Linked DNA regions of Stegostoma tigrinum. The protein of the gene in region 1 purifies or fractionates together with the protein of each later gene. This does not show direct contact. Links are inferred from orthologs where the notes say so. Each region holds a gene or a part of one and is shown in the gene's direction. Other genes may lie near its edges. The genes, in order: lrig1 and receptor tyrosine-protein kinase erbB-4-like.

What was found.
Region 2: the proteins of lrig1 (region 1) and receptor tyrosine-protein kinase erbB-4-like purify together in Homo sapiens (affinity purification with western blotting; 3 studies listed by BioGRID and IntAct, with this or other methods). This does not show direct contact. The link is inferred for Stegostoma tigrinum from reciprocal best matches to the Homo sapiens genes LRIG1 and ERBB4.

What each region holds. Positions count from the first base shown.
Region 1 is NC_081364.1:45,974,233-45,991,240, forward strand, and holds the start of lrig1 (leucine-rich repeats and immunoglobulin-like domains protein 1), read left to right. Parts: upstream 1-8,018; 5' UTR 8,019-8,275; coding exon 8,276-8,487; intron 8,488-17,008. UniProt on the Homo sapiens protein: Acts as a feedback negative regulator of signaling by receptor tyrosine kinases, through a mechanism that involves enhancement of receptor ubiquitination and accelerated intracellular degradation.
Region 2 is NC_081360.1:9,775,601-9,792,563, reverse strand, and holds the start of receptor tyrosine-protein kinase erbB-4-like, read left to right. Parts: upstream 1-8,281; 5' UTR 8,282-8,589; coding exon 8,590-8,665; intron 8,666-16,963. UniProt on the Homo sapiens protein: Tyrosine-protein kinase that plays an essential role as cell surface receptor for neuregulins and EGF family members and regulates development of the heart, the central nervous system and the mammary gland, gene transcription, cell proliferation, differentiation, migration and apoptosis.

The sequences.
Region 1 (17,008 bases):
GTTTATGGTCTCCAAAACAGTATAACATCTATGAATGAACTGTTGAAGTAAGGATTTGTTGTCACATGTCCTCATAATGTAATAATGAAAGAAGATTTTTCCCCAATAAACAGACCAACATGGAGGAGTAAACTCAACCTTTAAACCTTTAAAATGGGAACACATGTGAGTGCCTTTAAGACACCAATTTCAGCTTTGGATGTCCATTTGGAATGAATTATGTGTTATCAAAAATCCATTATACTACTAATACTGTAATGAGTTACACTGAGCTGTACAAAGAGAGTTAAATCTGGACCCACAATAGCCTAGAGTGCTGTAACCTAGCAGAATTCCCAGATTTAACAAATAAAGAAACCTTCTTTACTTTCAGCATCTTTAAAATTATACATTCTATTGTATTCCGTAGTACTTTGATAGCACAAAAACATGTTCTTACTTTTCAAGTAAAAGATTCTTGCAAATTATTCCTTAACCTGTTATATCTACTTATGGTAAAAATAATAACCTTTGAAAGTTACTGAATTATTTTCTTAACTTTGTTTAAGATACCGCTTCCTAAAATTTGCAAAGAATTGTTTCTGTTCTACTGAAGAGCCTTCAGTTGCTTGATGCTTTTCAAAAGAAGCACAGTTAGATTTTTAAAACAGCTTCAGGTCATGGTGTACAGAAAAAAAAAATCAATTCCTCATTGTAATGGTCTCAGAGGCCCTTATAATCCATCACACAGGGTTTAATTTTGACAAGTATTTTTCTGCTGTTGTACCTATTAAACTTTGTGTGGTTTTATGCAGATCGTGTCTCAACCATCCAATCTAAAGGTATTATATAACCACCACTACAATTTACACTTACTTATAATCTTATCTAAGATAACACAATATTTAAGTAACAAAATAAATTATTTTCAATAATTCTAGAGTCATTAACTTTTGAGATTTGATATTCAAAAATATCCAAGACCTCACAGTCATATGATAACCAATTTCAAGGATACAATCCATCTTAAATTGTTGATGCATACAGAACAGCCAGCATGCTTCAATGCATCAGTGTACTATCTTCATTTCTATATATATATATATTTATACACTAAGTCACATTCCATCCTGGCTTGGATTTACTTAAAAACAAAAACAGAAATTGCTGGAGAAACTCAGCAGGTCGAGCAGGATTTGTGGAGAGAAAGCAGTTTACTTTTTGAGTCCAGTGAGCCTTCAGAGCTGATAGTAGCTAATAAAATGCAATGTATACACTGAAGATGCTGGGGCAGGGGAACAGGGTCACAGAGCTGGGCATAAAGGAGTAAGTGCTAAGTGGACACAAAACCTACAGGCGCAGTTAGGCAGATACAGTGATAGATGATGGTAAGCCAAAGAAAGAAAAGCTGATAATGGGGACTGTAAGAGGGTGAAAACGGGTTGGCTTTGCTTAAAGCAGCCCATGTAGTGACAGGGCCCTCATTATGGGGGTGGATAGATGATACGAAAGAAGGCCCTAAAATGGTTGACCTCTATATTGAGTCCTGAAAACTGAAGGATCCCCAAGTGACAAAGGGATTGATATTGATTTCCATTCTTGACATTTTGCCAAAATCTTGGAATTGTGTGGTATAAATAATCATTACAAAGCAAACCCATCATTAACAGATCTGTAAGTCTGCAAATTGGCACTCTTTTCAATTTCTGACACTTGCCGCACTGTACTAATTCAAATATTTCCTTTCAGTCCAAGCCAGACCCACTTCTATCGCTGGAGAAATTCAGCAGGTTGGGCACCATCTGTGGAGACACCGCAGAACTGAGGAAGGGTCACTGAAGTTGAATTGATAACTCTGCTTTCTCTCAACAGATGCTGCCAGATCTGAGTTTCCCCAGTAATTTATGTTTTTGTTTTCAGAATCTGCACTTCTTTGTTCTGTTCTGCTTCTATTGCAGCTGCACAATATTCCAATGACAACCATAACAACTAAAGACTAACCTCACTACAGTAAACATAAATACATGTCATAAACAATTTAACATTTCTGAAAATTCACCTCCAAATGAAAGGGAGCACAAAAAACTTAAACAAACTGAAGTAATCTTTTGCATGAATTATAACCAAACAACAAATACTAGGAATTATAACAGCACAGAAATAAACTGTACTAAAGGTAAACATGTAAAAGTCATATTCCTCACACAAAGTTTTTGGTTAAAAGTAAGAGGTCAACTTTAAACTGAGTAGCATTTTGGTGAGGTTGAAATTCATCTTCTCTCATGACCTTCATACTACAAAGGTGCCAGACTACTACCGCGAACCCCATCCTCAAAAGTAGTTCAAAGTATTTTTAAGTTAGTGCTGTGGTAGCCTTGACATTACATGTTCATGTGCGCAGATGCAAGGGGCTGAACAGTCACTTTCAAGATACTCTATTATATGATTCTATCAAGTAAGCTTGCTCCAAGGTTAGCTTGATTTCAGTTGTAAGTGGGTGAGAAATGTAAAGAGGTTTGCAGTTTCCTTTTTAATTGCAAAAATATACCTTAATCATCAAAAAATCTCTATCTACATTCAGAGGTACTAAATCGGTTCTGTACAGTCTTTGCGTATCAAGAAAAACAAACATTGGAATTTGACATTTCCTGCAGTTGCAATAACAATGCTTTTCTTATTCATGAGATTATTTACATACATTGAGACATTGAGAGAGTCTGATAACTGAACAGATCCTCATTAAACTTTTCCAGAAATACCTTAAACGCTGGTCTTTCCCCACTGCAATCAGGTAACAGCTGCCCCAAACTTTAGAATGCCCTTGAGCAAATAGTCCCGGATCTTGGAATGCGCGAATCTGCAACGCTTGGTCAAGGTCAACTCTTTACACGAGAAGGCCAACAGATTTTGGGCAGACCATAAAGCGTCTTTCACTGAGTTGATGGTCTTCTGGGTGCAGTCGATGTTTGTCTCAGTGCGTGTCCCGGGGAACAGCCCACAGAGCACAGAGTCCTGCATCAAGGAGCTGATCTTGATGAATCTTGACAAAAATCATTGCATCTCCCTCTTTGCAGAGGCACCTTCAGAAGGAGATATGTGCTAATTTCTTCGCTAGCATAGCTGCTTTGACAGCACGCAGAAACTGCGAGTGCATGAAGGGCAGTGCCCTTCTCACTACCAGAAAAGTTACATCTTGATGCTCGTTACAAAGTTCTCACAATGAAGCATTCTGCCAAATGACTTTAACAGTCTGCTCAGGGAACCACGCGATAGGACCAACCTTCTCCTTTTCCCACAGGGTGTTAAGAATGTTATGAGCTGACTACTTCCTGATAGACTTGAAGTTAGAAGTGTTTTTCTTTTCAACTTTTTCCACAAAGGATGGATGATATGGAATGATCCACCTACTTGAAGCATTCCGCAGCCAGGCCCATCCTTTGAAACACCTCGGATATGTAGACCCTCAGTCGATAGTAACACTTGGTGTTTGCACAGGGTCTACGCACAGTTTGTTGCAGCCACACACAAACCTAGCCGTCAAGATGAGAGCAATTGTATGTATGTCCTTCCCCATAATTATCTAGACCTTTGTACATGGTGTCCCTGCAGACACAGTCCATCATTGACCTCCAGGTGAAGTGGAAGATGGCTTTGGTGACTGCAGTAGTGCAGGCTCAGGAAATGGGCCAGATCAAAACCACATGCAACAACATGGATAATACCTCATGTCTGATGACCAGACTTTTACCAGGAATAGAGAGGGACCAGTGCTCCTATTAGCCTAATTGCTGCCTCACTTTGACAATATGCTTCTTCTAAGATTTTGCACATGCCCCAGTCCATCTGAAACATTTACCCAGCACCTTCAAGTGATCTGTCCTGGCACTCTTCTTGCTAAATGTCAGGATCAACTCATAAGGTGAGACATATAAAGAATTGAATGATTTTCTCCCTCAGACGTCAGGGGTGGCTTTTGCATAGGATTGACCATTATTCAAATTTATTTTGTATGCTAACAGCTGAAATAATTACTAACCACCAATCAATTAGGAAAAGCTATAATTTAAAGTGTCACAAATGAAAGATTAGCAAATTTATTTTTAAATTAGATAAAAACTTAAGTTAGCATTTCCTGGTTATAATTATTTCATTTGCATTGTTTATGCATTGCTCTGTTATTTTTACCTTCCTGTAAAATGCTAAGATGACAATACACCAAGAAAAGTACAGAAGCAAGCAATTACTTAAATCATACAGATTCAGAGCCTATGTACACAAAAACACTGCCAAAGAGATTTAAAACGTACAAACATGTGGGAAAACATTTTAACTTTTCTTTCTTTTTACTATTTGTCCAATTTCCCACGTTGGGAAACAACAGCTTGCAACTATTTAGATATAAAATACTAATGTCAAGGTCCACCTATATATTGCATGTGAACATGTTAGATACCCTGCCCACTCAACTCTGCAAAGTCCTCCTCACTACTATTTGGGGACCTAGTTCAAAGTTTACAGAGAGTTCCCACAGATGAGTCAGACAACGGCCTGACATAAGCACAACACATATCTTTCATTCAAATACACAGGCTCCTGCATCACCATCAGGAGCTTTATTCAGTACCATCAAAAAGAGAAACCCATCAGGAGTGGCTGCACAGTTGAATAAAGTCAGAAGGGGAGGCCACAGGAATTTTCAACATTGACACCAGACAATATGAGGTATCATGGCATCAGGATAAACAAGGCAAGGAAACATCCTGTAGAGTATCATGACCTCCTTCCTTCAGACAATGAGTCATTACTCCTCCATATTAATATCATGGTCAGATAATGAACCGAGCCATGGCCAAATTCATCAAGACATGGTCTGCTTTCAGGTTTCTCTGCTTCCAGCACACCATCCAAGTCACATACCACTGTGACTTTGAAATATATTCCCATTTCCTTTTTATTGTTGGATGGAGATCCTCACCACAGGGCCACCAACCACTTAAGAGTCAAGCCCACCAACACCACCTTCTCAAGTGCACTTGAGAATAGTCAATAAATGTGGCCTGCTGCCACTTGATTAAAAAGAACATGCATAATGTATCATTGCATGAATAACATCAAACAAATATATTTTAAATATTTATTGCAATATACTATGAATCTACTCCTCACATTACCAAATTATAAATAATAATAACTATTCTTACAAAAAGTTGTCTAGTATTTATCATGAATGTAATGTGAACAACTACTTCATTAACAGAAACCACATATCGTGGAGTACCTTCATTGTTTAATGAATTATGAAGCCCAAAATTCTCACATATCACAATTACCACTGAAGGTAATGAAAGCCTTTTTCAATTACAAAATACAAAATTGAAATCCTCTCATGTTGAAAATATTTTGTGAACATTAATATGCAACATGTTTATCTGAAAATAATTTTAACGACAGTATTGCAATGAGCACAATGTTGGGCACTCACGTTGCAAATGAAGAGATTTCTATTTTACACTGACCTAACCTGCTGACGTAAAACTTCCTCAACCAGACCCTGGCGTGAAACAGAGGGAAAACTTCGGGAAAATCGTTTCGTTCGTTTTATGTGGGACACACGATGGAGTGTAAACCCAACTGGACTATTTTCTGATTGACAACTTTGTAAAATATCCAAGAGTCCAGTATATAGATTGTAAACTTAGCTGGCACCGTTTTAAGTTATTAGTGAGCCACAACTCCCATCCGTGTTTTTCAAATACATAAAATTTCAAAAGGTACAGAAAAAATGATCAGTGACACACGCAAACACACTCGCTCTCCTCAGTATAGCACAGCTGAACTTTCAGCCAGGTCGGAGTTGAGCAATGCAAATAGGCTCTGCTAGCTGGAACCCAATCAGTTTTACACCATTTGGGGCTGTGCTATAAATACATATTTAGATAGCCATCAAGTACTTCCGCATTTGACTGTAAGTCGTGAAATGTAAAGATAAGGTTTGAGTTAACAGACGTGTCTTTTACTCTCATACAAGGACTAACAATTCATTGTACGCTCTTTTTCGCAGCGAGTTTCCATAACCGAATCCATTATCAAAATATTTTGAAAATTCATCTATGCTGCGCGTGAAATACATGTATATATTACTAACAATGAAATTGAAATTCACTTGGTGACCAATAAAAGCTAGTTACTTTTGGATTGCGCTATCATTCGACCATTTAGTGTAATTTCGAAATGGAAAAGAGAGCGGGACGGAAGCAAAGAGATGTTAGATAATTTACTCTAAAAGGCGAAAGTCCATGTTGTGGATTTTTTTTTCACATTCCGGTCACAACTGAATTCTGGCCGGGCTTTAGAATGATTGCTAGTGCGTTTCCAATGAATAACGTGTCTTTTATTACTGTACAGTGCTTGTACTTCCGGCATTCGCCTCCCTTTTGGACCTTATATCGGTGTTTTAAGCGCTAAACTCCCTCTGTAAAACTTGTTCATCGATATCACTTATTTAATTTTTTTTTGACGATTACTGTAGCTTTCATTCGGTACGGTCACGAAACAAGTTAAATGACATATCATTTGCGGCTGTCACTCAGATCAACCCATGTCCACTCTCTGAAGACAACGATTCCGACAAGACCCCAATGAGAAAGTGATATGAGCAAATCAACTCAGTTTCGGGAAATTTACACATTCATTTCAAGTCGGCACATATAACAGCAGAAATTCTTACTCACATTCATATTATTGGACACGTTTTTAATGGAGAAAGATCAGTTATATTCCGCGTTTGTAACAATAAACAGATCGAACATGAGCCATAATAAAACACTGTATATACTTATGATCCTTTGTGTATCATTTAACCATCCGCTCTGACGGCTGTCAAACTGTTCCCAATTCATTGACGAGTGTAAATTAACTGATTCCCAGTCTAACTGGATGGATTTTGCTCATTTGTGTAGTACTTTAACAGCTACCACACAAATTCCATATATATTAATGAACGAATAATGTTGCAATTACAAATATAAATTGTTGCCGAAGGTTTAAAAAAAAGTACCATTTTGCTCAACAAAGTGCGGTTTCTAATATTTGCACTGACTACTCGTACTTAAATATGAGAAAATGTGCTGTTTATTTCTGTATCGCAAGGGTAGATTGCCAAAAGGAGCAAAGTTTTGAAAATAACAAACTCGTCAGTTAAAGGCGGCTCTCATCGAGTTTTATCTTTCGAAATTTTGCAGAATATTCAAATTATTCCTATCCTATAACTAACTGTCATTATTGCTTTAGCACAAGTATCTGGTAGGAGTTGCTATAACACCATCAGGATATAAACTATTTAACAATGTTATAAATTCACTTGCTTCTCTTGAGAAAGGACGGAAATTATTGTCTGCCCACCTTAACAGCGAGCTATGTCCTCCAAGACTGTGCAGTGTTTTCTTGAACATGACATGTACCTGTGGCCTTTGCTGAAGACACCGCCGAAACTTTGGCGCATTATAAACATCAAAAGTATCTAAAAGAAACTTTTCCACGTAGTTCAGCTGGTTGCTAAATTAACTGGTCGATTAAGCGCCGTGCTGTTTTCGAATTTCAGAATTTACATTTACTCCGCTTATGGAAGCTGTTTGCTTAGAACAGCCATAGCAGTCTATTTTCATATTCAGGTAGGTGTGTTTTTGTAACTCATGGACATATCATTTGGTTCTCAAAGTGTGAATAATGCGTTAGATGACAGCGTTAAAATCGCGCGCTCTCCCTCTCTGTCTGATGCGTGCAGTCAAGACAACAGGAGGCTCCCGCTGGGCACTGCCCTTTAAACGCAGTGAGGGGCTGGAAGAAATGCGAGACTTTTCACACCCGGGCCTGGGAGCAGGGTAGGGGGATGCGAGGGCGGGGAGGGACCCACCGGGACCCGCCCTCTTACGGCCAATTTCTGATTGATGTTCCTTAAAACCAATAGATGACGGATTGTCATGAATGTTTGTTCACATGATATGGAAGTTGGACCAATAGCACGGAAGGAGGGATGGAACGCCCCCGCTGCATCCAACGTGGGTCGCGGCTGGCAAGCGCGAGTGGCTTCACATTAACGGCTGTTCGCAAATGGTCAGCAGGGAAAATTAGTGCGGAGCAACTCTGTGAGGCTACGGCGGGGGAGTTCCCGCTGAACTCGGCTTTCTTTCGAAGTAGGGGAGCGAGCGAGTTACCTACCCTCACTCAGCCGATCGGTGTGTGGGCTGGAGCTCTTAGGTTGTGTTCGTGGAGCGGCGGTCACTCGGTGCGAGGCAAGATGGCGGCGCTGCTGCTGCCCCTGTTGCTGGCGTTGAGTACCCCTCGGCCGGCCGCGTGCACGGAATCGGAAACTGGAGGCGGCGGTCGTTCTGTCACCCCCGAGGCCTTGCAATGCATCCCGGGCTGTACGTGCAGCGGGGAGCAGCTGGATTGTAGCAAACAGGCCTGGACTCAGATTCCCCGCCAGCTGCCTTCTTGGGTCGTCTACCTGTAAGTACCCTCGAGGTGTTTTCATCATCTGCTAGGACCTGTCAGGATTGGGATGAGGAGTGCGCAATCCACCATTTACCGCCTAGTGTACATTGCACTGAAGCTGCAGACTTCACGGTCTTTACCGCAGCCTCAAATACACCGATCGTAGACATGAATAGTTGGCATTGTAGTTTTCAAAGAAATTCGAATATATGGTCACTTTCTTAACTTTCAAATGCCTGTACACTATAATTATTCTCAGAGGCGAGCTTTGCTTATTCCTTGATATACAGCGATGCATGTTCGTCAATGCAAGTTCAGGAATGTGGTATTTATTTGTGGTAACGTATCGGACCTCGCAGCGAGCATGGGTTGTGCTCACTTCTGAATTGTTGCACAATGGAAAAATAAGTAAGGGTTTGTTGACATTTGAATTTCTTTCATCCCGAATACAATCTACATATTTGTCTAGTCTAAAATCCTGATAGATTTGTTTATTTTGCATTCTTTCGCCTGCTGAAAGGGGTGCAACTTTAGTACAGCGATATCGTAGTCTTGCCAGTAGTTCTTCGCATTTTTGAGTTTCGAGTGTTGGGGTTCGTAACTGTTATGAAGCAAAATGTGAACGAAAAATTAGCTTTGGTAAGATGATGGGATAAAGGATCGTCAGTTTTCCTCAGCGTTTTGCGTCACTTGAGATTGAAATTGGTGACCGTGGAAAATTCCATAGTTGGTAGAAATTAAGAAAAATGGATTGGTTTAGTTATTTGAAACTTGTGGTTTCATTATCAAATCACTTAAACAGCGCGTTTTACAAGAATCGACCATTAAACAAAAGGAGACTGTATATATACGTGACACTTCGTTCAGGATATTAACCAAACTATTAACAAGCGAAGATAATTCTTGCAATTTACCTTCAATGTGATTTGTTGTGTGTTTTGTTAAACTTTGACTTTACTTATTGTAGCATCTTTTGCAACTTCTTCTTTCTTGGCTATTGCGGGGTGACGGGGCTAAATCTTTGGAGAGCTAATTCCATAACTAGGTAATTAGGCGGCTCACTTGTGTTCGCTGGCGATATAGCTTTTCCAGAGACTGCTCGGTTCATTGTCACTGCGACGTGGTTCTCATTCACTTGGCTGTTGCCCGGAGATGTTGATTGGCAACATGCCTGCGTCGAATTCAGTGCACATATGGTCCTAATGCTCGTTGCAGCTTTGCAAGTTGTGTTGTAGCTATGCCGGCATTTGATTTTTCTAATCTTGGTATAAACGCATTTAAAGTGGAAGTATATATCCGAGTGTTAACCTGCATGGTTTCTATCTTCGAGGAAACTTAGCCTCTTTTCGCGACTTTGTGGTTAGCTTAGTTCGTTTAGATTTTTCACTTTTGAATGCACTTTAACAATATTGTCTGGGCACTGCTAAGAGTTACTCCCTTCGACATTTATTTACAATACGGGGATTTTGAGACGATAAGAAACAAACTGTTTTTCCAAAATGAGTCTGGTGACAAATTATTTCAATTCTGAAATTATATAGTGCTTTTTGTTACCTTTGCTCAAAAAGGCAGAACTATTTGCCAACCCTTTTAAGATTTGCAAAACTTAAAAAAAACTCCTCTTAAAGGCTTAGCAAACTTGTTTATTAAAATAAACTGCCCAAAAATAAGGTAATAATAAGTTCCCCTTTATTCAATGTTATTGATCTCAACTGGGTGATATTGACCTCTGCTTGCTTTTGAGGAGGGTAGCATTGATCAGAATTCCCTCTTCTGATCATTGGTCAGTGACTCATAACGGAAGTATTAATGGACAGTGGATGTCTGCATAATTGGTTATGATGCATCCCACAGTCAAATAATGATTTGAGCCAACTGTCTAGTTTCTTCATCATTAATGAGATGAGAGTGTTGCTGGTTTTGCAGCATTTATTGCCCACCCCTAATTGCCCAGAGAGCATTTCTGAGTTAACGACATTGCTGTGGATCTGGAGTCACATGTAGGCCAGACCAGGTAAGGATAGCAGTTTCCTTCCCTAAAGGACATTAATGAACCAGATGGCTTTCTTCGATTGACAACGGATTCATAGTCATCATTAGACTCTTAATTCCATATATTTATATTGACTTCAAATTCCACCATCTGCTGTGGTGGGATTTGAACCTGAGTCCCCAGAATATTTTCTGTATCCCTGGATTAACAGTCCAGCAATAATACAGCTAGGCCATTGCATATAGTCAAATAACACAGAGACAAACCCTTTGGTCCAACTCATCTGTGCCGACCAGACATCCCAATCTGATCTAGGAGGTAGCAAGAACTGCATGTGCTGGATTCAGGGTCGATACAGTGTGGAGCAGGAGGAATACAGCAGTGTCCTGATGAAGGGTCTAGACCTGAAACATTGACTCTCCTGTTCCTCTGTCACTTGTTCCTCCAGCTCCACACTGTATCAACCCAATCTGACCAAGTCTCATTTGCCAGCATTTGGTCCATGTCCATCTCAACCCTTCCTATTCATATGTCTCTGTGTGAAAAAATGACCCCTTATGTCCGTTTTAAATCTTTCTCTCCTTGTACATTAAACCTACATCCTCTAGTTTTGGACTTTCTCTTTCCCACCCTCCTACCCACACGTGCGCACGCACACACCGCACCACACATGCTCCGCATGTGTACATACACACAGAAAATGGCTTTGGCGATTCACTGTATCCATGCCCTTCACGAATGTCTAAAGCCGTCCCAGGTCACCCCTTAGTCTCCGACTGTCCAAGGGAACAAAGCCCAGCCTGTTCAGCCTTACCCTATCTCTCGAAGCCTCCAGTCCCAGCAGTATCTTTGTAGATCTTTTCTACACTCTGTCAGTTTAACAACACCCTTTGTACAGAAGGGCAACCAGAACTGAACGCGGCCTCACCAATGATCTGTACAGCTGCAACAAGACGTCCCAGCTCCTTACTCAATGTTATGACCAATGAAGGCAAGCCAAACACCGCAGTCACCACCCTGCCTGCCTGTGACCCTACTTTCAAAGTCTAAATTGACATTTTACAGTGATCATTCAGTGATTTAGTTTTGTAGTTCATCCAAAGTCAATTTTTCCATTATAACAAAATGCGGAGCTGGATGAACACAGCAGGCCAAGCAGCATCTCAGGAGCACAAAAGCTGACATTTCAGGCCTAGACCCTTCATCAGAGAGCTCTCTGAAGGGTCTAGGCCCGAAACGTCAGCTTTTGTGCTCCTGAGATGCTGCTTGGCCTGTTGTGTTCATCCAGCTCCACACCTTGTCATCTTGGATTTTACAGCATCTGCAGTTCCCGTTATCACTGATTCAATTTTTCCATTAACAGCTTTGAGGAAATTTTGTATTACCTGTAGAATATATTCCAATAACCTTTCAAAATTAAGGACCAATGGTTTGAATTACACATGCAATTTCTCTACCACTTTCAGTTCTCTTAATTCCCACAGCCTGAGTTGAAAAAATATTTTTCTCTTCCCTATTCCCATATTGACAAAGAAAGTTTGTATTGCTTAAAGAAACATTTTTGCATGAATGGAAGTCACTGACGAAAATTGTTATTGTCATCTACTGTAGAATTCTGTTGAACTTTTAGTCAAATAAAATTTTGCACTGGTTTGAAGTAATGCAGGTTATGATCATGAGCTTCTGAATTTCTATTTCTCTCTTTAAAATTACATTGTGGTAAATGCAAATTGAGAAAGTGTAGAGAAGTCTTCCTTCCAAACGTGTTTTACAATCATTGTGTAAATGTACATTGAACAAGGAGTGATCTGCAGGGAAATGTTTGCAGGAAGGTTTGTGCCATAGTGATTCAATGTTATAAATTTACCGTTTTCAATAGCTGACAAACTACTAGCCTGGATATAAAAAAGCAAGTTGTAAACGTGCCATGTTGGTCCATGATGTTTGGATTAAAAAAGAAACCTTCTATCTTGGCAAGCAATCAAAAAATAGTAATTTTCCAAGTCTGATCAGAGGTTTTGGCTAAAGCTTTTTCAACCTGCATATATTCCTTTGCTAGAGAAAACTTTCACACCAGTTCAAAAGTACTTTAAACTTGAAAATATTATTAATTCATAGTTACACAGAAATTGAATCTTAGTATGTTTCTCCTTAATTGTATGAGGAAAAATGAGATTTCAACATCAAAAGTTTTGGTTTTTTCGCATAGACAGTATTACGAGTTAAGAAGTCACATGCCTGTACATTTGTTTAAATTTCCTTTAGAATTTTGCATACCTTTATGAAAGTAGGCTTATAGAAAGTTAATGTCTGACCTTGATTTTGGTGTATATTAACAACAGTCGAAGACTGTTTTAAAATCCTTAAATCCTAAAATTTGACAATTATGTTTTGCTTGAATTTTTTTTTGTGGATTTATTCTTTAGACTTGAAAGCTTCTAATGTCAAGTTCAAATTTACATCAGCCAAATGCTTTGAAATTTCAAAAGAATAACATTTAACATTACAAAAAAAATTCTAAATACTGCTTATTCTTCCAATTTGCGATTTATTGTTTGGTAACTTGTAACAGAATCAACATAGAACAAACAATAGTGCAAGTCATCTACATAGTGTACAGTACACTGAGTAGGTATGTTTTTTAAAAAAAAACTACAATTGATCAGATACATTTGGAAATCATTTCACTAGTATTTTTCTTGAAACCCATTCATTAATACAGGTTATTGTAATTTTTTTAAAAAAATAGTTTGAACTAGTTGAATGAGCTCCAGGAAGTACTGGGTGAAAGAAGTGTTGATGCTGAATTTAAGGGAAGCACCAATTGTGTGAATGTGTTTTGACAAGTAAATCTTGAGTGGTGTTTAAAATTACAGTACATTTTTGTTATATGCAATCGTTCTGGTACTAAGCTGGAGCTTTGTACCTTCATGGTGGAAAATCTCATTAAACTTCACATTTTTTCATTTATTCAATGTAATTATAATAAGTTCTGTTGCATAAGTGGTTCGCTTTCCCTTTACATTTCTGTTATCTCAAACAACAATGGATGTCTATAGGGATTTCCAGAAAGCATTTGAAAAAGTCTTTTACAGGTGATGAAAGTAAGCACATGAAATGTCTACTCTCTCCTTCTTATGCATGTCCTTGCGAGATAATCAAAAATTAGTGGTCACTTTTTTAAACAAAAAAAGTTGGGTAGCCTATTTAAGACAGATGAAGCAATTTTTTTTCTAAAAGCATCGCAAGTCTTTGGAACTTTATTGCTTAAAAGGTCATGGAAGCAGGTTATCTAAATATTTTTAAGGCAGTGATGGATTCTTGGTAAGTGATGAAGTGACTGATTATTAGGGGTAGGTGGAAATATGAATGAGGTTACAATGAAATCAGCCATGATCCTATTTAGTGGCAGAGTAGGCTCAAAAGGCCAAGTGGTTTACTTTTGCTCTTGGTGTCTTGCGCTCTCGGTCACTCACTCTGACGTTTGCTGTTGTTCTCTTGCTCCACTCCCTCTGCCATTCACTGTTGCGCTCTCTCTCTCTCCGCTCCCTCTGTCGTTTGCTCTCTTGCATTCGCTCTGTCTTTGTTCTGTTGCTCACTCGCTTGCTCTGTCACTTGCTTTCTCTCTCTCTCATTCTCGCTCTGAGTGTCTCATCCTCTTTATAATGTCGAACTGATAAGATAATTACTGATTACAAAATTGACAGTTGAAGTTCACTTTGGATGTGAGCAATCGGTAATTTCCATTGGAAGATTATAGGCCTTGGAAAAGGGAAATGTTTGGTACTCAATGCGCATGTTGCTAATAGCTAGTGTTGATGTTGAGGCTCATTAGATTACATTACAACTGTAACTTTAAAGTTAGAGTAAATGAAAGTGTTCTCGTGACATGTTCTGAAGTGTGCCTGACAAATCTCTGTCTGTAGTTTGATTAGGGTGGTTGGAGATCAGGGAAGGACTAGATTATTTTGCTGAGAATTATGTATAGTGCAAGGTATTTGTGATTGTGGACAATTTTGAGTTTATGTAGGCCCGCTGGGGTAGCGTTGGTATTGGATTGTTAACGGATGTACTATAAACTTGCCTGTTTAATTCAAAGACAAAAGGAAGCTGTATCAAATATAGCTAATTAGCTAGCTGCAATGCTAATGTGTTGCCATTGTCCTGACGTGGCTAATTTGAAAAACAAATATTTGAATAGACTTTAAATTGGAGCTGGATTTGAGGAATTCAGAAACAAGTGGCTAGAGATGGTCATTCTGTTATTATTTGGTGAAATGGGAATACAGAAATCTGTTGGACGCTCAAGTAACGTGGACTTTTAAATGGGTGAGGAGTATAAAAAAAGGTCACCCTGAGTTTCAGTTAAGGTCGCCAGCCAAAAGAAAATAATCTTTAGTCATTGGTGTTTTTTTCTAAATAATTTGTGACAGCAAAAGCCTTTATGTAAAATATTGTGCCTTTTTGCCAAGCTAATAATGGGAGCGTTTTAATAAAAACTGGAATTTCAAGTCTCTTCATACAAGTTATCAGTCTTCCCAAAGATCATAGCAATGGGACACTGGTGCAACAAAGATTCATACTTAGAACTGGGCCATTTATGAACAAAATCAGGAAACTCTGTTTAAGTTAAGTAGGTTGCAGAAATTTGGAAAATACTGTGACAAAAGGAAACAGAACTGATGGAAACTTCCAAGCTTTCAAACTTTTTAACTGGAATAAAATTGATTCTAATTCATAGTTTGATTGAGTTCTATGATCTCTTGATTCACGTAATATCACAAGACTGACATCAAATTAGGTGATCAGTCTAATTTTGGGTTTGTATGGGCTTAAAGGGTAAGGAGTGAGGTGTAAGGGACTTGTCTTTAAAGTATGAAAAGGAACTCTGATAGATTAAAACAGGGCTATTCAGTCCAGTTAGTCCCACCCCCTTATACTTCATATCCTCTCACTATCTCTTCTGTAAATATATATCCAGTTCACCTTTTGATGCATACTATTGGATTTACGATTACTGTCCTTTCAGGCAGTGCATTGCAGATTATTGTGTCCAGCTACTGGTTATTGATAGGAAGGGAAGTCATTTTTGAGCAAGACCATTCTTGCATTATGAAACATTGATTTAGGAGACATTCTTGTTTTGACAGTATTCCACAATATACAGATTGAGGTCTATATTTTGTTCAGCACTAATACATCTGTTTTTCAGGTATTAATATTTAATTTTGCAAAGGTTTTGTTTGCTAGGTATTTACAACAGTCTGCATATAATGTGCATTTTAATAATTGTTTCAAAAGTGTAATGAACACCACAAGGATAACCACATGGCATTGAGAGAAGCTGAAATATCAAAATATAAAGCACATATTTTTTAAAATATCAGAAAAAAACTTCCATGATTCTTTTTCAATCTTCACAGGAAGTGAGATCCTGATCTTGTAAATTTTTAGTTTAATAGGACCAGTGAGATTGTCATTGATTTTAATACCTGGTTTAAAACCACTGAAAATGTTAAGTGAGCAATGTGTGCTTAAATAGATACGTATAAAGTTCATCAGTCACTCTGCTGATTGCATCTGAAAGATTGTAACAACGCACTGAGTAGAGGAGCAGGATAGTAGTAATAACAGCTTGTGGATTTAGACTGCACATAAGCACATGGCAGAAGACAAGTTTTATACAAATGACAGTGAGCACCAACAGTTTTTTCATCATGTAATTGCAAATTTTAGGCCATTGTGTAGCATATTTTCTTGGAAATTTTAAGTACTGTTTAAAACGTAACTATGGTAAAGTAGAAATGTAATGACTAAAATGCATGCAACAAACTTACTTCAGAGCAGCACTTAAGATAATGTACAACTTTAAATATACTTTTCAGTTTCAAAAATCCAGAACAATTTACACAAATGTTAGTAAGGAAGAAATCAAAATATTGAGGAATTTCAGGTGTAATGCATTTGTTTTTTTGTTATAAATGCTTTTGAACTCATTGTCCTGTGAATGGAAATATTTCAAAGAACCAAGTGCACAAATGAATGCAAGGTAGGGGATCTGGTTCAGAATAAAGATATAATTATATCCAGTGTTTGGGGCATACTATGAAGCAAATAATATTGTTTATTTAATTTGTTCTCATTAAGCTGTGCACTTTTTAAAATTTTCTTCTTGCTAGTTTGATTTTCACCTTTCACGGCATGTATGTAATTGGAGGAAACAACATTTTGTAACTAAAAAATGAGAATTTATTTTTCAATTACATTACATTTTACTGAAGTTGGTTTAAAAATGAATATTGTCAAGAAGAACAAGAGAGATCCTTGTTCTTCAAGTAATATATTTGGGCTTGCATCGTCTTTAGTTGTAAGTGGAGTACTTGTTGCCCAATTTGTTCACTTCAAGTTATGTTATCTTGCACTTCCTGTGTCAAGCTTCACCAGTTTTTTCTCTAGCTTTTTTTTCAGTAATTTTTGAGTTGCCTACCCAAATTCCATTTAAAATTGAGTCATAGTCATATGGTATAGAAACAGGCCCTTCAG
Region 2 (16,963 bases), on another chromosome or scaffold:
ACTGGGACGACGTGACTATCCTAACTCAAGCCAACCACAGACATGCATGGGAATTCCTAGAGGCCTGGTTCTCCGACCATAATGTAATCAATAAACATGTGGAATTACATCCCAAATACAAACACTTACAAAAAAGTGAAATGACACAAAACACCTCAACAGACCAGATCACATAAATATCAAGTGGAGTAGAACAACATCGCTTCATCGGAGGCCGCATTGATGATGTTACTTAGCATGGTGACGAAACGTCTGAATTACAACCAGCCCATCTGCAACCCGAGCTACAAATCTTCACACGAACCCTGAGACACAGTAGATGAGGCAGAGTCTGTGAAGAGTGAAACATAGTGAGCATTTCAGCTTCGAAACGATTCCTCAGACAACAGTTTTAAGCTAATAACGGGGGAAGGAACAAAAGGTAAGGTCTGTGACAGGGCAGAATTCATGAGAATTAACAACAGAAGGGTTGGTAGTGTAAGGCTCAAGAGAGCGGTAATGGGACATGTTAAGAAGTAAGGGATACAGCCCAGAGGAGATGTGAATGCTGAAATGGCAAACAGCTTAAAGCGAAAAATGAAACAAAGCTAAGACAGCAAAATAAAGGCCTACAAATATAAAGAAAAGTCAAAGTGAAGGCAGAGATTACAGCTTGGAACTGCTGAACTCAATGGTGATAACCAAGGGCTGTAAACTACTGTGTTGAAAGATAGGATGTTGTTTTCTGAGCTGGCATTGAGCTTCACTGTAATGCAAGTAAAGAGTAAAGATGACAGAACGAGCAAGGTGGGGAATTAAAATGGTGGGAAGCTAGGGCTAAGCTTGAGGATTGAAGGGAGGTGTTCTGTAGAGCGCCTGGCTGGGCATGGTGTCCTTTCAGCCTGGCACAGCACCCTCCAAGCCTGGCATGACAGTGTCCCAGCCTGCCATGGTGGATCCCGGCCCAGCGGGGTGGTCTTTTGGCAACTCATGGCAACCTTTTGGACTGACATGACCTCAGCATGGAATTCCGTCCTGAAGCATCCTCCCAGCCTTGAGGTGAAGCCTGGCACAACCTGGAGTCATGGCCCAGCATGGACTGGAGGCGAGGTGCCAACATGGACTGGGTTCGAAGGACTATTATTCTGAACTTCTTATTTCTCTCTTTTCTCATTTATTCCTACAATCTGTAATGCTGGACATTGTATTTTCTTATCTTTAAAATTATTTTTCCTCAGAATTTGTAATGTAACACCCATACCTAGGTACCTTGTACCTAAGATGGCACCATGAGCGGCGAGTTGAAAACTCATCAGTGCACTCATTTCAGTACATGTGGCAATAAAGCCAATTCAATACAATTTCAATGTGTGGTTGGTCTCCCCAGTATACAGCAGGCAATTTGAAATTCAAAGAAGAAGATGGAGACTATGTTTCACATGGTGGAGTGTTTGGGACCTTGGGCGCTACAAGGAGAGCATGATATGTGTTGCATCTCCTGCATGGAAAGATGCCATGGGAAAGGTAGGGATTGTTGGGGATGATTGAAGAATGGACATGGATATCAAAGAGGCAAACGAAGCGGAAGGTTTTGGAGCTGAATCATTGAAATTGGGACAAACACAAACAAGGGCCCTGTCAACAAGGATGGGGAGGAATCCTTGTTTGAAAAGAAAGGTAACAACCATATAAACATCAGTATGGAAGACTTTATCACAAAATAAAACCAAAGGAAGTGGAGAAACTTGGAAATGAATAGAGTACTTACAGTAAAAGAGATGTGAGGGAGAGTGGACTTGTCTGTTTGAATGTTGCCATGGCAGATGCTATAATTTGAATTCAATAAAAATTTACAACTAAGAATCTAATGATGACCATGAAGCCATTGATGATTGTCAGAAAAGCCTATCTAGTTCACTAATGTTCTTTAAGGGAGGAACCCGTCATCTTTACCTGGTCTGACCTGTATGTGACTCAGACCCACGGCAATGTGACTGATTCTTAAGTGTTCTCTGGACAATTAGGGATGGGTATTAAATGCTGGCCTAGTCAGGGGGACCCATTTCTTGCAAATGATTGATCTTTTTTTAAAGTCAGCTATCATCATCTGACATGACACCCTCAGCCTCCAAAGGCACTGTTACTCAGAAATGTCAATTAAATTCAGGACAACAAAGTGTGGAGCTGGATGAACACAGCAGGCCAAGCAGCATCTTAGGAGCACAAAAGCTGACGTTTCGGGCCTAGACCCTTCATCAGAAATGGGGGAGGGGGAGAGGGTCCAAAATAAATAGGGAGAGAAGGGGAGGCAGACCGAAGTTGGATAGAGGAGAAGATAGGTGGAGAGGAGAGTTGGGGAAGTGGGGAGGGGATAGGTCAGTCCGGCGAGGACGGGCAGGTGAAAGGGGCAGGATGAGGTTAATAGATACGAAATGGAGGTGCGACTTGAGGTGGGAGGAGGGGATAGGTGAGAGGAAGAACAGATTAGGGAGGCGGGGACAAGCTGGGCTGGTTTTGGGATGCAGTGGGGGTGGGGGGATTTTGAAGTTTGTGAAATCCACATTGATACCATTGGGCTGCAGGGTTTCCAAGCGGAATATAGGTTGCTGTTCCTGCAACCTTCGGGTGGCATCATTATGGCACTGCAGGAGGCCCTTCAGCCTGAAGATCCTGTCTCATTGATATTGCCTGTTTTAAGCTGTACCTCTCTGCTGGGCTGCTTGTCTGATGCTGGCCTATGTCCTGTGCAGCTACCGGTCTGTGAGCCAGAAGGCCATGTTTTCATTGATCCAATCTACAACAGCATTCACAGCCACTCAGCCACTGAGCCTTCAAACAGTACCAAGTAACCTCTCAACAGAAATAACATGAGTGGGTAAGGAAGCAGTAATGAGTACTTATTGACATCTTTAGCTGAAACTGCCTCAATTGTTGCTCTGTATTGACCTCCATTTCATTCATAAGTTTCAGGAAGCCTGGGAAACCAGCAGGCTCACATGTCCAGAGATAACGGGAGCTGCAGATGCTGGAGAATCCAAGATAACAAAGTGTGGAGCTGGATGAACACAGCAGGCCAAGCAGCATCTCAGGAGCACAAAAGCTGACATTTCGGGCCTAGACTAGGCTCACATGCCCGATGTTAGGAATTAGAACTTGGGAATTGACAGTGCGTGTGCGCACACACGCACTCTCTCACACACACACACAGACACACACACTCCTTCATAGACACAAACACACACACTCTCTCCCTCTCTCTCACACACACACACACACACACACACACACAACTTTCACACGCACTCACACACACTCTCACTCTCTCACACACGGTCTCTCTCTCTCTCACACACACACACACACACACGCACGCACACACAGAAAACGTGAAAGTGACAGGTTGACAGCTTCCTGGCTTTTCCCATCCAATCTTCCATGTGAAAATCCAGTATATTCTCCAGTTTTGTCTTGATTCCCAAGTGTGTAGGGCCCAAAACCTTAGAATCCTCTTCCTGAGCATCTGCCTCTCGAACTCCCTCTCCTTCTTCCTTGTTACAAATAAACAAGTGATTTCATCAAGCTTTTGGTGCCCTGTATTTTTGTGTGGTTCAAAGCAAATGTCTTCAGCTAACAGTCCTGACAAGCACCTTGGTGCATTTGACTATTAGAGTCATACGACTTGGAAACAGACCCTCCAGTCCAACTATTCCATGTCGACCGTGTTCCCAAACTAAACTAGTCCCAGCTGACTGTGTTTGGCCAATATCCCTCTAAACTTTTCCTATTCATGTACTTTTCCAAATGTCTTTTAAATGTTGTACCTGTACCTGCATCCACCACTTTCTCTGTCAGTTCATTCCATACACTAATCACTCTCATGTCTAAAAAGGTTGCTCCTCATGTCGTTGTGATTCACACTGAAAATCAAACCCCACTCCTCCTGCAGTCATCACTAGAGTTAAAGATTTGAAAAGTAATATATAAATAATCCACATTACCTGATTTTTAGACACAGATTGACAGAAAGCACAGACCAGGTTCTGTACTATTCTTCGTAAGTGTCACTAATTATTACAGCTGATTAGATTCTAGCTATAGATAAGCAATTCAACTAAATTAAGAAAACTCTTCAAATTACAACTCAAAACCCCTTGTAAACTTTCTCTTACAAACACACAAATACAAGAGACAAAAATAAACAGGGTTAAGAGACACACGTGGATGGAGGGCAAATTTAGAAAACAGTTCCACAGTATAATTTCACAAGATCTCTTGGGTTGGTTCCTTCTGATCCAAAGATTTCTTCTTCCAAATGCCTTCACTGATTTGCAAGAGTCACAGGTTCACTTATGAAAGGTCTCTGACATGTCCAATTTGAAGTCCCAACTTGCAGCATTTGCTGAGGCTTTCATCAGGCTTAAAGTGGCTTACTGCAGAGAACTGAACGAGAGAGAGAGAGAGAGAGAGAGAGAGACTGCTTGGCTGCTGCAGACCTGCTGGCTTCTTTTATGATCTGACCTAGCACCTCCGTTGGCCTGTAGGTCAGCCTTGCCCATACTTATCGTGGAGACAGGATTCCTCACATCAATCCTACTGAATAGAATTCTAGAGTTAATTATACCCTCACTCTAGGTATAGTTACTGAGTATGTGCAAAAGGGGCAATGTCATTGTGAGGTCAGATCACATGGAACTGGTGCCTGGGTCTGCAGGACTGTAGCTGAGATGTCCAATCTTACCATTCTATGCATGCAATCAAAATGCACTTCATTCACAAGCCTTATCGATGACAATATTAATTAATTAATTGAGTTGTGCTGGGATAGATCCATACTAAAGTGGCCATACTGCGTGCGGTCACACAATGCGCTCTCTTTCTTCGAAATCGTGGATTTTGAAGCCAGGATCTCTCCAATTGGGCCCAACATTCAAAAGAGATTAACTGATAGACAAAGATAAGGATGAAGAATATGCCTGAAGGTATTGGGAGCAGTATTTAAGGATGCATCCAAATGGAAATTAGATTCTTATAAGTGCTACAAAGAGTTAATTTTACAGGCTGTGCAGTCCTCGAGAGAGGTCAGGAAAAGTGAACTCTTCTTTGTTAATTGTCCACAGATACTGCTAGAGCCGCTGAGCATTTGTAACATCTCCTGCTCAAAATGATGTCTGTCCGTGCTGGGAACAGTCAGTCTGCGATCAATAATGAGCATTGAATGCATGAGGGACTCAGCATTGGTTGCTTCGTCGTCAACAGGGTGTCTCTGGAATACTTGCTCCATTGTTCCCGTCGTGTTTCGCACTCAACGTCTCCGACATGAATGAACAGTTTGGTCATTGATTGCTCGCCCTGTCTTTCCCCGGCCCTCCTCCACCCAACACATTGTTCATTCACCAAACCCAGGTTCACTCAGTTCCGGAAACCGGCAACACTCAAAAGCTGTGGAAACCAATTTCAAAATCTGAGGAAATCGAAAATTATAAACATATTTTTCTGAAAAAAAACAGAGTGCCTCGGTAGCAAATGAAACTGACATTGTAGTTTAGCCTTCATTAGTATCAAAACAGGCGCGTCAAACATACAGCTGACCTGGAAAGATGTAACAAATACAACAAAGTTTATAGTTTTAAAGAATAGCACATAAACATTAAGGGGGCAAGAATCGAGCTTGGAAATATTTATGTTAGTGAACCTAAGCAAATCTTGGAAATTCAAAAAGTCCAGGAAATTGCAAAACAACAAACCTAATTATGAATTTGACACAAAGAGAACGTGAGGAAAAATGTCAAAATCAAATATTGACAGAGCCTGAAGAATCTTGAAAAATGGGGAAAAAGAGGTCAAATAAACTTAATCAAAATTAGGCCGCCCCAGCATTAAAAATTGGTCGATTTTTTTAAATTCAGAAGCCAAAATACAGCAGATCTCAATGCTCAGTCATGATAAGCTTGTACAAATCCACACTTACTGACATTATTGGTGATCGAAAATTTGGAAATCGTCGGAGAATTTATTGCCTTGGAGGCGAGCTATAATGCCACCTCGGAATAGCAGTTAACTGGAAAGCTAAACGCTGATAGTAAAAAGTAAATAAAGTAACCGGACGAAAACAAACATGGACAGAGCCCGAAATATTTTCAATTCAAAAATTAAATAACATTTGAGAAAACCTTTTTTGTAAATAGCGACGTCTTTCACCATGTATGCATCTAAAACAAAACTCTTGCCTCTAATGTTAATATTGTTCAAATAGAATCTGAACATTGCTTGTGCGTGAAACATGTAAAGGCACCGACTTTGACACAGAACAACCCTACTTCCAAATGCAAAACCTCCCAAGACGTTATTATATTTTCATTTGCCTCAGGTTTAAAATAGGAGATTTCATACGCATTTATTTTGCTAAATTCAAGGTCACGGGAAATGTTGCGAGAATCACAGAGAGAAAAAAACAAAAATAAACAATGCAAACGATTGCAAATATTTCTGGATAGATAAAATCGAGCAAAGTCCGGGAAGAAATTAAAACCGAGCCATCTTGGGAAATTAAAAGCTGAAGCGGTTTTCAGAAATCATAAAGGTGTCATTAAAACGAAGGGTTTTTTTAAATCAGCGATTTGAATACGATTTGCCTCAGATTCCCTCGTACCACTAGGGAGCGCTGACATATTGACAATATCCGTAAAGTAAAACTGCGATGCAGGGTACAAGATTCGAAGTCAAAAGAGCGAAGCATTTCTGTCGGTGGCACACTTGGAATGCAGCAGAAGTCTAATGGAGACGACACGCATTCTCCAAACTTGCAAAATTCCTCAGAAACGCCAACTCCTATACTGCTCACGGGCTGGGACACTTTTTTTTGAAAGAAAAAACCCAGTTGTGAATATTTACTGCTCTCAGTTTTTTCCTAAAACATCTGTTGTCACTTCTGATGGTTCGCATTGCCCTTAGCAAGCTTTGCATGTAAATATCGAAGTGACCGCAGGGGTCCTTTTTTTTAATGGTAACGGATAGTCGTTTAAAAAAAGACAGTCACTGATTTTGGTGAGGTAATGTCGCTCAGTTGTGTGTGATAACACTTCTGGGGAAGAGAGGAAAATACAAAACGTCTACTGTCACGAATTATCTTTACAAGCGTAGTTTTGGGTTTTTTAAAATTTCTTTTGGTTTCTAATTCGGTTCATCCTGCGATTTTCTCACTTTAGGGAGCAAACAATGAAATATTGAGCGTGCGTGTGTTGTAAAATCGTCTGCAGTTAAAAACATTCAGAAGATGGCAAGTCCACGATTGGGAGTGTTTATTGCACTGCGCCTTCTGGCACGTTGCGTCTGTTTACAAACGATCGCTTGCTTCCAAGCCTTGTGAGAAATTTGCCACAAGAAAAAGTGCGCGTCTGAAAAGTGTGCGAGCTGTCTCGCCAGACACTTTTGTTTTGTCACTTGGGTCAACCCTGAATCTTTCGGGTTCCACGCTGAAGTTCTTCTCCGGGGAAATGTTTAAAACGACAGTATATTAAATGCTGGGCTTTTGTTACGCGTTGAGAGACCGCATGCAGATCTAAAAGGCTACACTCTGGGTATGCACACATAGTAATGAACATAGCCATTGTATGCAGCAAGTCCGGGGAATGCATGGGAATGCGCCGTGTGGAATCAAATGCATAACATTCAGAATGGTAAATCAAATGGACGCTGGGGTTACCTGAATGATTTGTGCCTGGGATGTGAAAATACACGATTGTAAACTGCTCGGTTTGTGCAGCTGGCTAGGTTTGTAGGAATGCGAACGAAGATCGACACTTGTTACGCTTTTGGGCTCAGTCAACCCCATAATCCCAGATTAGAGTAGCATCCCAACCCACCACGACTACCCAACCCCCGCCCCCACCTCCACCACGACTTCTCTCCCCAGGGCACAGGTCCCCATATCTCCACAATGTACCAGGCAATTATCCCGAGAAGTGATCATCGCAAAACTATACCATGGTTAAAAAAACGGTCAGCACCTATACAATTCCGAGTCGGAAAGTAGCAGCGATGGCATGGTCACAAAGTTGTAACTACAAATCCCTGAATGCCCTGCCTGGAGAGGGTGGGGTGTTTTGGAGGGGCGGGAGGCGGGGAGGTGGTGGGGCGTGGCCGACTTTCCCTGACGGACGTGCGGAGGAGCCAATGGTTAGAGAGGTGGCAGGTGCCGGATTGGTGAAGTGGCCAATGAAGCTGATAGGGGGGCGGGGAGGGGCACCGGAGTGGAATTTGTTCATGGTTCTGTTGGGCGAGAGCGACCAATCCAGCAGTGCTGCACTGGGCACAGACAGAGAGAAAATGAGCAGCAAGCCTGGCACATAGACCGGTCAGAAGCACTGAACCCCCAGCGCGGAAACAGCGCTCTGAATTTAAAACATAACACCGAGACAACAGGAGGGAGCAACTTACAAACAAACCCAAAAAACCCCCCAGCAGCAACAGCAAAAAAAGTTAACCCTCACTTTCTGCGGATACAGTGGTAGTCATGTAATTTTTTTTGCTTTGAATGCACAGACTGTCTGACACAGCCGCTCCCGTACCAACACAGAGAGAGGGGCCAGAGAAAAAAATAACTGGGAGAAAATGAAGTTGGCCGCTCTTCTGTTTGTGAGTGTTTTCTGTGCAACGTTGAAGGTGCAGGAAGTAATTTCACAGTCAGGTAGGAGACACATTGTCCTTTCTTGCTTTTGTGTATATGTGCGTGTGTAAAGGGTTGGTAGTTGGTGGTTGTAGTGGGGGGGGGGGTGCGGTTTAGTGTCGGTTAGCGCCTTCCTCCTCTGCGTTGTCTGTCTGGCACGATTATTGACATGGCAAAGTTGGGTGTGAGGGAAAAGTTTCGTTGCGATTGCCCTAGCTCCTGTCTGAAATGGTTGTCTGTGCAGAGGCATTGTTTTTATTCTGGTGCCACACAAAATCACGCCCCGCGGTTACTAAGAGGCGTACAAGTGTAGCAACAATGTGAATTTACCTTCAGTGTTCCTCACGGGTTTTGCAACTTTTGAGTCATGTAACAGTATCTAATGTGGAGGCAACTGACAGTTCGTGTTATGTGGGGAGCGGGGCGCCTCATGTAGCCTTGAGAGTGTGGTATGAACGCCGGCTGTAATCCGCCGGGGAACTTTGCGGTATCTTGTGTCTAAGATTGTGGGGAGATACGAACCCGGGTTAACTCCAAACCAAAATGCCACGGAGCGTCGACTAAATTGCTTTGAGATTAAACAAATTAAAAGACAAAAAAAGAGACAGCCTGTCATTGCGTTGTTAGATACGCTTGAAGTTAGATGGGAGCGCAGTACTTTTAACGATGCGATGGGGGGGCCAAGTGAGTTGTCAGGGTGTTTTGAAGTCGGGTCCGGCTACATTTGGATGACCTGACCGGGGGAGATCTGTTACGATGAACGGGTGGCTGGACGGGCACCAAGCCGCCTTCGTGCCTTTTGGAGCTCGTTGAAACAGCGGCTTCGGTTGCATCGTGTTCACATTAAACGAGAGAAAAAAACAAGGGAGAACCTGAGAGTCGCTGTGCGCTTTTTCGACCCGCACGTAAGATCGGGCAGTCGTTACAAGCGGAGAGTTTTTGTGTATTGTTCATCCAGCCTCAGTGAATGAGATGGGAGTGGGCGCGCACATTACAACCAGAGGAGTTGGGGAGTACATCAGAGATCCCCAAGCCTGTTTTGTCCTCAGCCGGGAAAAGCTGCAAAGTTAGCCCCCATCTCTTTCAGCCTTTCTGTCTCAGCTGTTGTGCCTGATCCCAGTCAGGATGAAGAAAAGCCAACGCAATACAGTCCAGAGATGACAGTCTCTCTCTTTCTCAGACACACACACAGTACAAGACACAGTGCTGAACATCTCGTCTCCAGAAGAACACGCTGCCCACGGCTTACCCTTCCCCTCGCCTTGACCATTCTCGCCCAAACTGTGGCTGTCTTCCCTCTACTTCCTCCGCCCTCGCCCACGCCACCACCACCCCCCCCCCCCCCCACCCTCACCCCGGCACTGCCCAGTGCTTGACGTGAAAAATGATCTTCCCTTAGACTGGGTGAGGTGGTTTGGGTGGGTGAGGGGGCTGAGTGGAAGGGGACCTGTGTCAGACCTATCGTGCACAACAGAAGCTTCGTCGGTTTGCTTTACAAACAGCTTGAGCCGCCCCACCAGGCAGACAGCCATGGGCAAGTTACGGGTTTTGACGAGGGTGATTTGTTTGTTTATTTGAGTAAGCGTTCACTTGTCAACACCGGTCAATGTAGAACAAGTGCTGGGAGAGTGTCATCAGCCTCCTCCACCACCCCCGCCCCCATGCAGTCCCAAGTGATTGTCCACGCTTTGAGATCTTGATGGATGTTTCCAGGCGCTGAGAAAGCGGCTTTGCTCAGAGAGCATCAACTGGCGCATCTGACAGTCGCGGATGATAAAGGGGCACCGTCACTGAAACATTGGAAGCGCCTTCCAGGAGAGGAGCGATTCGTGATTTGATGGGTAGATCAGCGGGGACGAGAGGTAGATAAGAGGTTCCCCTGGCAGGTTTCAGGTGGGACTGTTGGCGGCTGGTAAACACCAGGGTCCCATGCTGGTTTCAACTCAGATGGGCCGTGGGATTTCTGCTCGCCAACTTCTCAAGAGTAACACACCCCCCCTCAACCCCTGCCCACCCAACCCTCCATCTCCCCCACAGGGACAGTCTGGACGGCAAGTCCTGCAGGAATAGTTTAGGACGCGGCCTTTTCTGGGGAATGGCTTGCTCCTTGAGACCGCACGCTCGGGATAGAGCCGCGGGGGTGTTGAGACGAGATGGGTTACGCCTTGCCAGGCTTGATGCGGGAGCAAGAAGGTCCCCTTTTAAAATGCAGATCGGGATTGAGCTGGGGCATCGGCTGGTAACGGGGCTTTCCCGTTGGGCCACCACGGCCTGGCGTGGCTTTTGCTCACGGAATCTGTGGTGGGATTGGACGGGGGGGGGGGGGGGTGAAACCCATCCCTGAATGGGGCAAACAGGAAGCTGAACTGGGCACTGGCCACAGTGAACAGTCTGTTCAATGAGTCAGTGCAGCCCAGCCTTTCGAACTGTCTGGCACAGGCTGTTTTTACTGCTTTCACTGTGCTGCACTGACATAACTTCATCTCCCCATCCTCTTGCCTGCACCTTTCATCTACTCTGCCCACCCCCACCTTTTGATGTGGCCACCAGTCTCCAGATAAACCACCTTCCTCTCCCCTCACCACTTCCCACCACCCCCCACCCCCGCCCCAGCTACTCCCGCGGGAGAGGTGATATTGAGGAACCTGTGTGTCCAATTCTTCCTGGCCAGCACTGCTGCCTCACAGCGCCAAAGACCCGGGTTCGATTCCACCCCCAGGCGACTGCCTGTGTGGAGTTTGCACACTCTCCCCGTGTCTGCATGGGTTTCCTCCGGGGGCTCCCAACGTCCCACAGATGTGCAGGTTAGGTGGGTTGGCCATGCTAAATTGCCCATTGTGTTCAGGGATGTGCAGGCTAGGTGGGATAAACTATGGTTGTAGGGGTAGGGTTGGGTCTGGGTGGGATCCTGTTTGGAGGGTCTGCGTGGAGTTGATGGACCGAATAGCCTGCGTCCACAATGGAGGGATTCCTGAATGTATATCCGCTAGGCCTGGCCGCAGAGTACGGCTAGATCGAACTAGGCAAGTCAGAGAATCTTCCTAATTCACACACACACCTCCACCGCCAGCAACCTGAACACAGAAGCGCAGTTGCCACTCTGCTCCTATCTTTGTAATTCACCCAAGCCCTCCACCCCATCGCTCAGCCCACCATCCTAACTCTGGACTGGGCTCTCCTCCTGCCCGTGTCCCTGTCTGGGTTATACAGCTTGCACTATTCGTCCAGGACTGCACTTCTGCATGTTTTACTCCCGAGCCGGATTTCTTGGTGACTTTGTCTGGCCTCACAGCAAGAGGCTTTACTCTCCCTGTAACATCTGTGACATCATTATCGTCTGATCTTCCCTGCATCGTCTCTAGTGCTTCCAGGCTCTCTAACGCTTCCCTGTTGCCTCCTCTTGCAATGCTGGAGACTGACAAGTTGATTAAAAAGCAGTTTTTTTAGGCTTTAACATGGTTTTATATATTTGTTATTGCAAAATCGAGAGGCAGCGGTAAAGTGCCTGCCACGGAGACACGGTGCAGTCTTACAGAGCAGGCAAAGCGTGCGTAGATATTCCTAGCTCTCATTCGCTCACCCAGATATTCAAAGTGCAAATCGCTGTCAAAGAGATGGTGCACAGCACTGACAGAGTTGGGAACTGCACTCAATAGAGATGGCGTCCCTGCCCAAGAGGCGTGTGTCACTTTAAAGTAGGTTTCTCCACGATATACATATATCAGGGGAATTCAAATCAATTTGAACTGAAGATTATGCATTCACTCGCATGCTAAAAAAAATCCTCCTGACAAACATTTGAAATATGGAATTTAAACCGTGTAAAAAGAGAGGAAATGCTTTGACATTTTGTTCCAACTGATTGTCTTTGTTCAATAAATTACAGATAAAGACAGGGAGGGAATCCCAATCGCGTAGTGAAGGAACTGACTTCTCTCCCTCTCTCTCAACGTTTCCACAATTCAGAAAGGTCAATGGATGTGATATCATTGCAGACCTCGAGCCTTTCAAGGCCGCTGAAAGTTTTAATTGCTTCGCTTCTTTTTTTTAAAAAACGAGCTGCCACGGACTGGATGTGAAATTGATAAATCTTTGAATAGCGATTCATATCAGCTCCGTCCGGCTCGTCTCGCGAAACCTGACAGCGAGAGGAAGAAAGAGAGAGTGGCTTGCAAAATGTTGAACTCACTGAGATTATGACAGTCAGTAAAAGTTCAGTAATCTGGACTGGAGAATCGGAATCAGAGCCCGTTACAAAGAGCGGAGTTTAGCAGCGCGAGGACTGTGTGTGGACGTTGTTCAGCTCCCAGGAGCTCACTCTCTACATCACCTGTTTATCCCAGACAGCTTTGATCAACATTTGACTGTAATTGTTCGTACATAAGGTGTCTGTGAATGAAGAGGGCAAACTCAGTAGGTCTCAAAGATCTCTGAGACAGTAGGATTTCTGAAGAAGGGTCTAGGCTCGAAATGCCAGTCTTCCTGCTCCCTCTGATGCTGCTTGGCCTGCTGTGTTCATTCAGCCCTAAACCTGGTAGTCTCAAAGACCTGCTGAGCTTTCCCTTATGTTAAGATAATAGACTCAAAATTGAAATTTACAGCAGGCTGAATGGCCTGGAGAGAGCGGATGTTTGGAAGATGTTTCCATTGGTAGGAGAGACTAGAACCCGAGGGCACAGCCTTAGAGCAAAGGGAAGGCCTTTTAAAACGGAGATGAGGTAAAACTTTTTCAGCCAGAGAGTGGTGTATCTATGGAATTCATTGCCACGGAAGGCTGTGGAGGCCACGTCGAGTACATTTAAGACGGAGATAGGCAGGTTCTTGATTGTCAAGGGAATCAAAGATTACGGGGAGAAAGCGGGAGAATGAGGTTGAGAAACTTATCACCCATGACTGAATGGTGGAACAGGCTCGATGGGTTGAATGGCCTAATTTCTACTTCTATGTTTTAGAACATAGAACAGTACAGCACAGAACAGGCCCTTCAGCCCACGATGTTGTGCCGACCATTGATCCTCATGTATGCACCCTCAAATTTCTGTGACCATATGCATGTCCAGCAGTCTCTTAAATGTCCCCAATGACCTTGCTTCCACAACTGCTGCTGGCAACGCATTCCATGCTCTCAACTCTCTGTGTAAAGAACCCGCCTCTGACATCCTTTCTATACTTTCCTCCAACCAGCTTAAAACTATGACCCCTCGTGTTAGCCTTTTCTGCCCTGGGAAATAGTCTCTGGCTATCAACTCCTTCTATGCCTCTCATTATCTTGTATACCTCAATTAAGTCCCCTCTCCTCCTCCTTTTCTCCAATGAAAAGAGTCCGAGCTCAGTCAACCTCTCTTCATAAAATAAGCCCTCCAGTCCAGGCAGCATCCTGGTAAACCTCCTCTGAACCCTCTCCAAAGCATCCACATCTTTCCTATAATAGGGCGACCAGAACTGGACGCAGTATTCCAAGTGCGGTCTAACCAAAGTTTTATAGAGCTGCAACAAGATCTCACGACTCTTAAACTCATCCCCCTGTTAATGAAAGCCAAAACACCATATGCCTTCTTAACAACCCTGTCCACTTGGGTTTTATGGCCTCACTCAATTTTTCTTTCACCTCCTGAAGGAGTGTGCATTCGTATCAAATGGGTCAAAGGTGATTTATAGCGGAACTACGCTGTGAGCGAATGGCTTTCTAAATAGGTCATTTCACTGGGAATTAAAATCTAAGCTATTGGCTATGGAATGACGCATCGGGGGCTATCGGCCCATTGTGGGCTACGCTGTCTCTCGGAAAGAGCTGTGGCCCACTGTTCCTTTCTAAAGACAGACCCATCCCCTCCCACCGCCCACCTAAACCTCCAGTCACTGGCTTGTCGTCCCGCCACAGAGCAGACGTTCAAGAATTCATTACAAAACTCCCCACCGCTCCTTCCTCGCAGTTAGTTCCCTAATGAGTCACTTCGTGACTGACCCTCAGCATTTCATTCATTGTGAGTAACTCGGCTAACTTACTCCCTTAACGCTCCTTCTCTCCCCCTCTCCCGACCGGAGTGTGTGTTTATTTTCAAATGCCCGGAAATTATTGGGTAACCCAAAGCGGGTGAAGTCGAATTGTTTGTGAACTGGGTGAGCTGTCAGGAATGGGCAGTTGTAATGGGTGAGGCAGGGTGCTCGCTTATCCTGTGTTTCTCACAGTAATAACTCTTCCCCCTACCCCCAACCCGCCAGAGTTGCAAACGAACGCAAGTCATTTTACCCAGGAGGGAAGTCAACTAACCCTGGCTAACCACACACCCCTATCCCGGCTGCCTGCCTTCTATACGGCGGGTTGAGGGTCTGATGGTGGAATTCCGCATTCCTGAAATCGAACTGCTCCCAGGGATTTCAAACAGAACTTCAAACGGGACTTACTCCGCGAATCTGCCGGGTTTTGTTTTAAAAGCTAATTAGGAATCAACGCGAATTCTAACAAATGCTCCTTCATTGCGCTCTCCAACGCCCCGTGAGCTTCACGGAGACAGCCGAACTCATCACAGTAAAGGTTGCAAACTCTCAGGACGATGTGCTTGTGATGGAAGCTTAGGTATTGGGTTTGAGTGTGTGGATGGGAGAGATCATGGGGGAGGGGGGGATCTCTGGGACCATTTTCTTCACAACATGCTGTCGGTAATGGGGAGAGACGGTTTTGAACTCTCGCCCACCTCCTGGGGCAGCCGGGACCGATCCTGTTAACCTGGAGCAGGGCTTTCCAGTCGCCCGAGGCACCCAAATGTCCCGCGAGACTCCACACAAAAATCGGCAAAACTTTTTTTTCTCTCTGCCCGTGCATTGTCGGGAGAGGAAGAAGCCTTTTTTTATATATTATTCGCTTCCCACAGGGTCAGAAAAGATTTGTGTATCTGTGACGAGCAACACTGACCCGAGAAGGAAGGCAGGTTCCTAGTTTTTGCCAGTCTGAGTGTTAGCTAACCGGTAAACTGCAGCTCACACAGCAGGCAATATTGCAGAGTTGCCTTTCAATGGGAATGTAGTGGGCAGGGGGAGGGGGTCTTGCAGGTGACGAAGAAAAATTAAACCCCTTCAGGACAACCGAAACGACTTTAAATCTCCCATTTTGCAGCACCTCCGTAAACATCAAGATTAAACTTTAATTCAAAATAATGGACCGGACCTATCATCGAGACACATTCTAAAATCGGCATTCTATTGAGCCTGGCCGTGACTTGTACTGATAACAACACTCGTACGGAGAATGATCTCAGTTGCTGTTGCAAAAGTGTACGCAGCTGATTATTATTGTGCCGTTTTATCGACCAAAGTAAATTTTGTTTATGGCATCAGTGTTAGCAAACAGTTAACTCAAGTTAACCAAGGACTGAAGCGAGAGAATTCTCACCCGCGCGTGTTTGCCAGTTGCTTTAATATGTTCACTTCTGGATATGATTCGATGCGAGAGTACCGGGCGTTGGATTTGAGCTAACTGATCTTTTAAGTTTGGATGAATTAAGGTGGTAATATTTAGGAATTTTCCCGAGCCGGTGAGGGATGCCGAAACGGGAATCCTGCATTTTCGATTTTGAGGTACAAATCAAGACTCCCCATGTTACACATACAACCACAAAAGAAGTGTTTATAACCGAGGAAGATTATTCATGCTCCTGGAGCACAACATTTTGCTGACAGCAAGAACAGAAACACATCTTTGTTCACGGGGCGAGGGTTGGGGGGGAGGCGGGTGGAGATCTGAACAGCAGTTTAGAATTGAGTGTGTATTCACACAGCCCCTTGTCAGCTTGTCGCGATTTTGAGTGAGAATGAGATTTGCAATGTAGCAGTGTCTTGTCCGTGAGCAGAACGGGCTGGGACCTCTAATCACACAACCTGTACTGTAACCATCTGGCAGCTCTGCTGTCTTTCTGAAATAAACGCCCTTTTCTTTTAAAAACATGGTACAATAACCATTGATTTAAAATCGCCGCTACTTTCTGCATACGTAGACCATTAAAGTGAACGAAATTGTTTCTCTCAAACCTTGTGGAGTCTGTTTCTGCTGCGTGTTATTGTTGGTGAGTGAACCCCATTGAAGGTTGTGGTGTGAAGTGGTTGGTACATTGGGCAGTCCCAGAAAGCCCTTGTTAAACTGTGCTTCTGTCGGTGTGAATGCAGTCAAAACAACACGACCGCTGTTTATGAAATGAAAAATTGTCAGCTCTTTTTGTAAAAACATCTATCGTCAACGGCGCGGGTTGCAAAAGTAAGCGCCGCCGTTGAGAAAAGAAATCAGACGTTTTCGTTTTAGTGCCGATTGAGTAAAGCCCTTGTGGA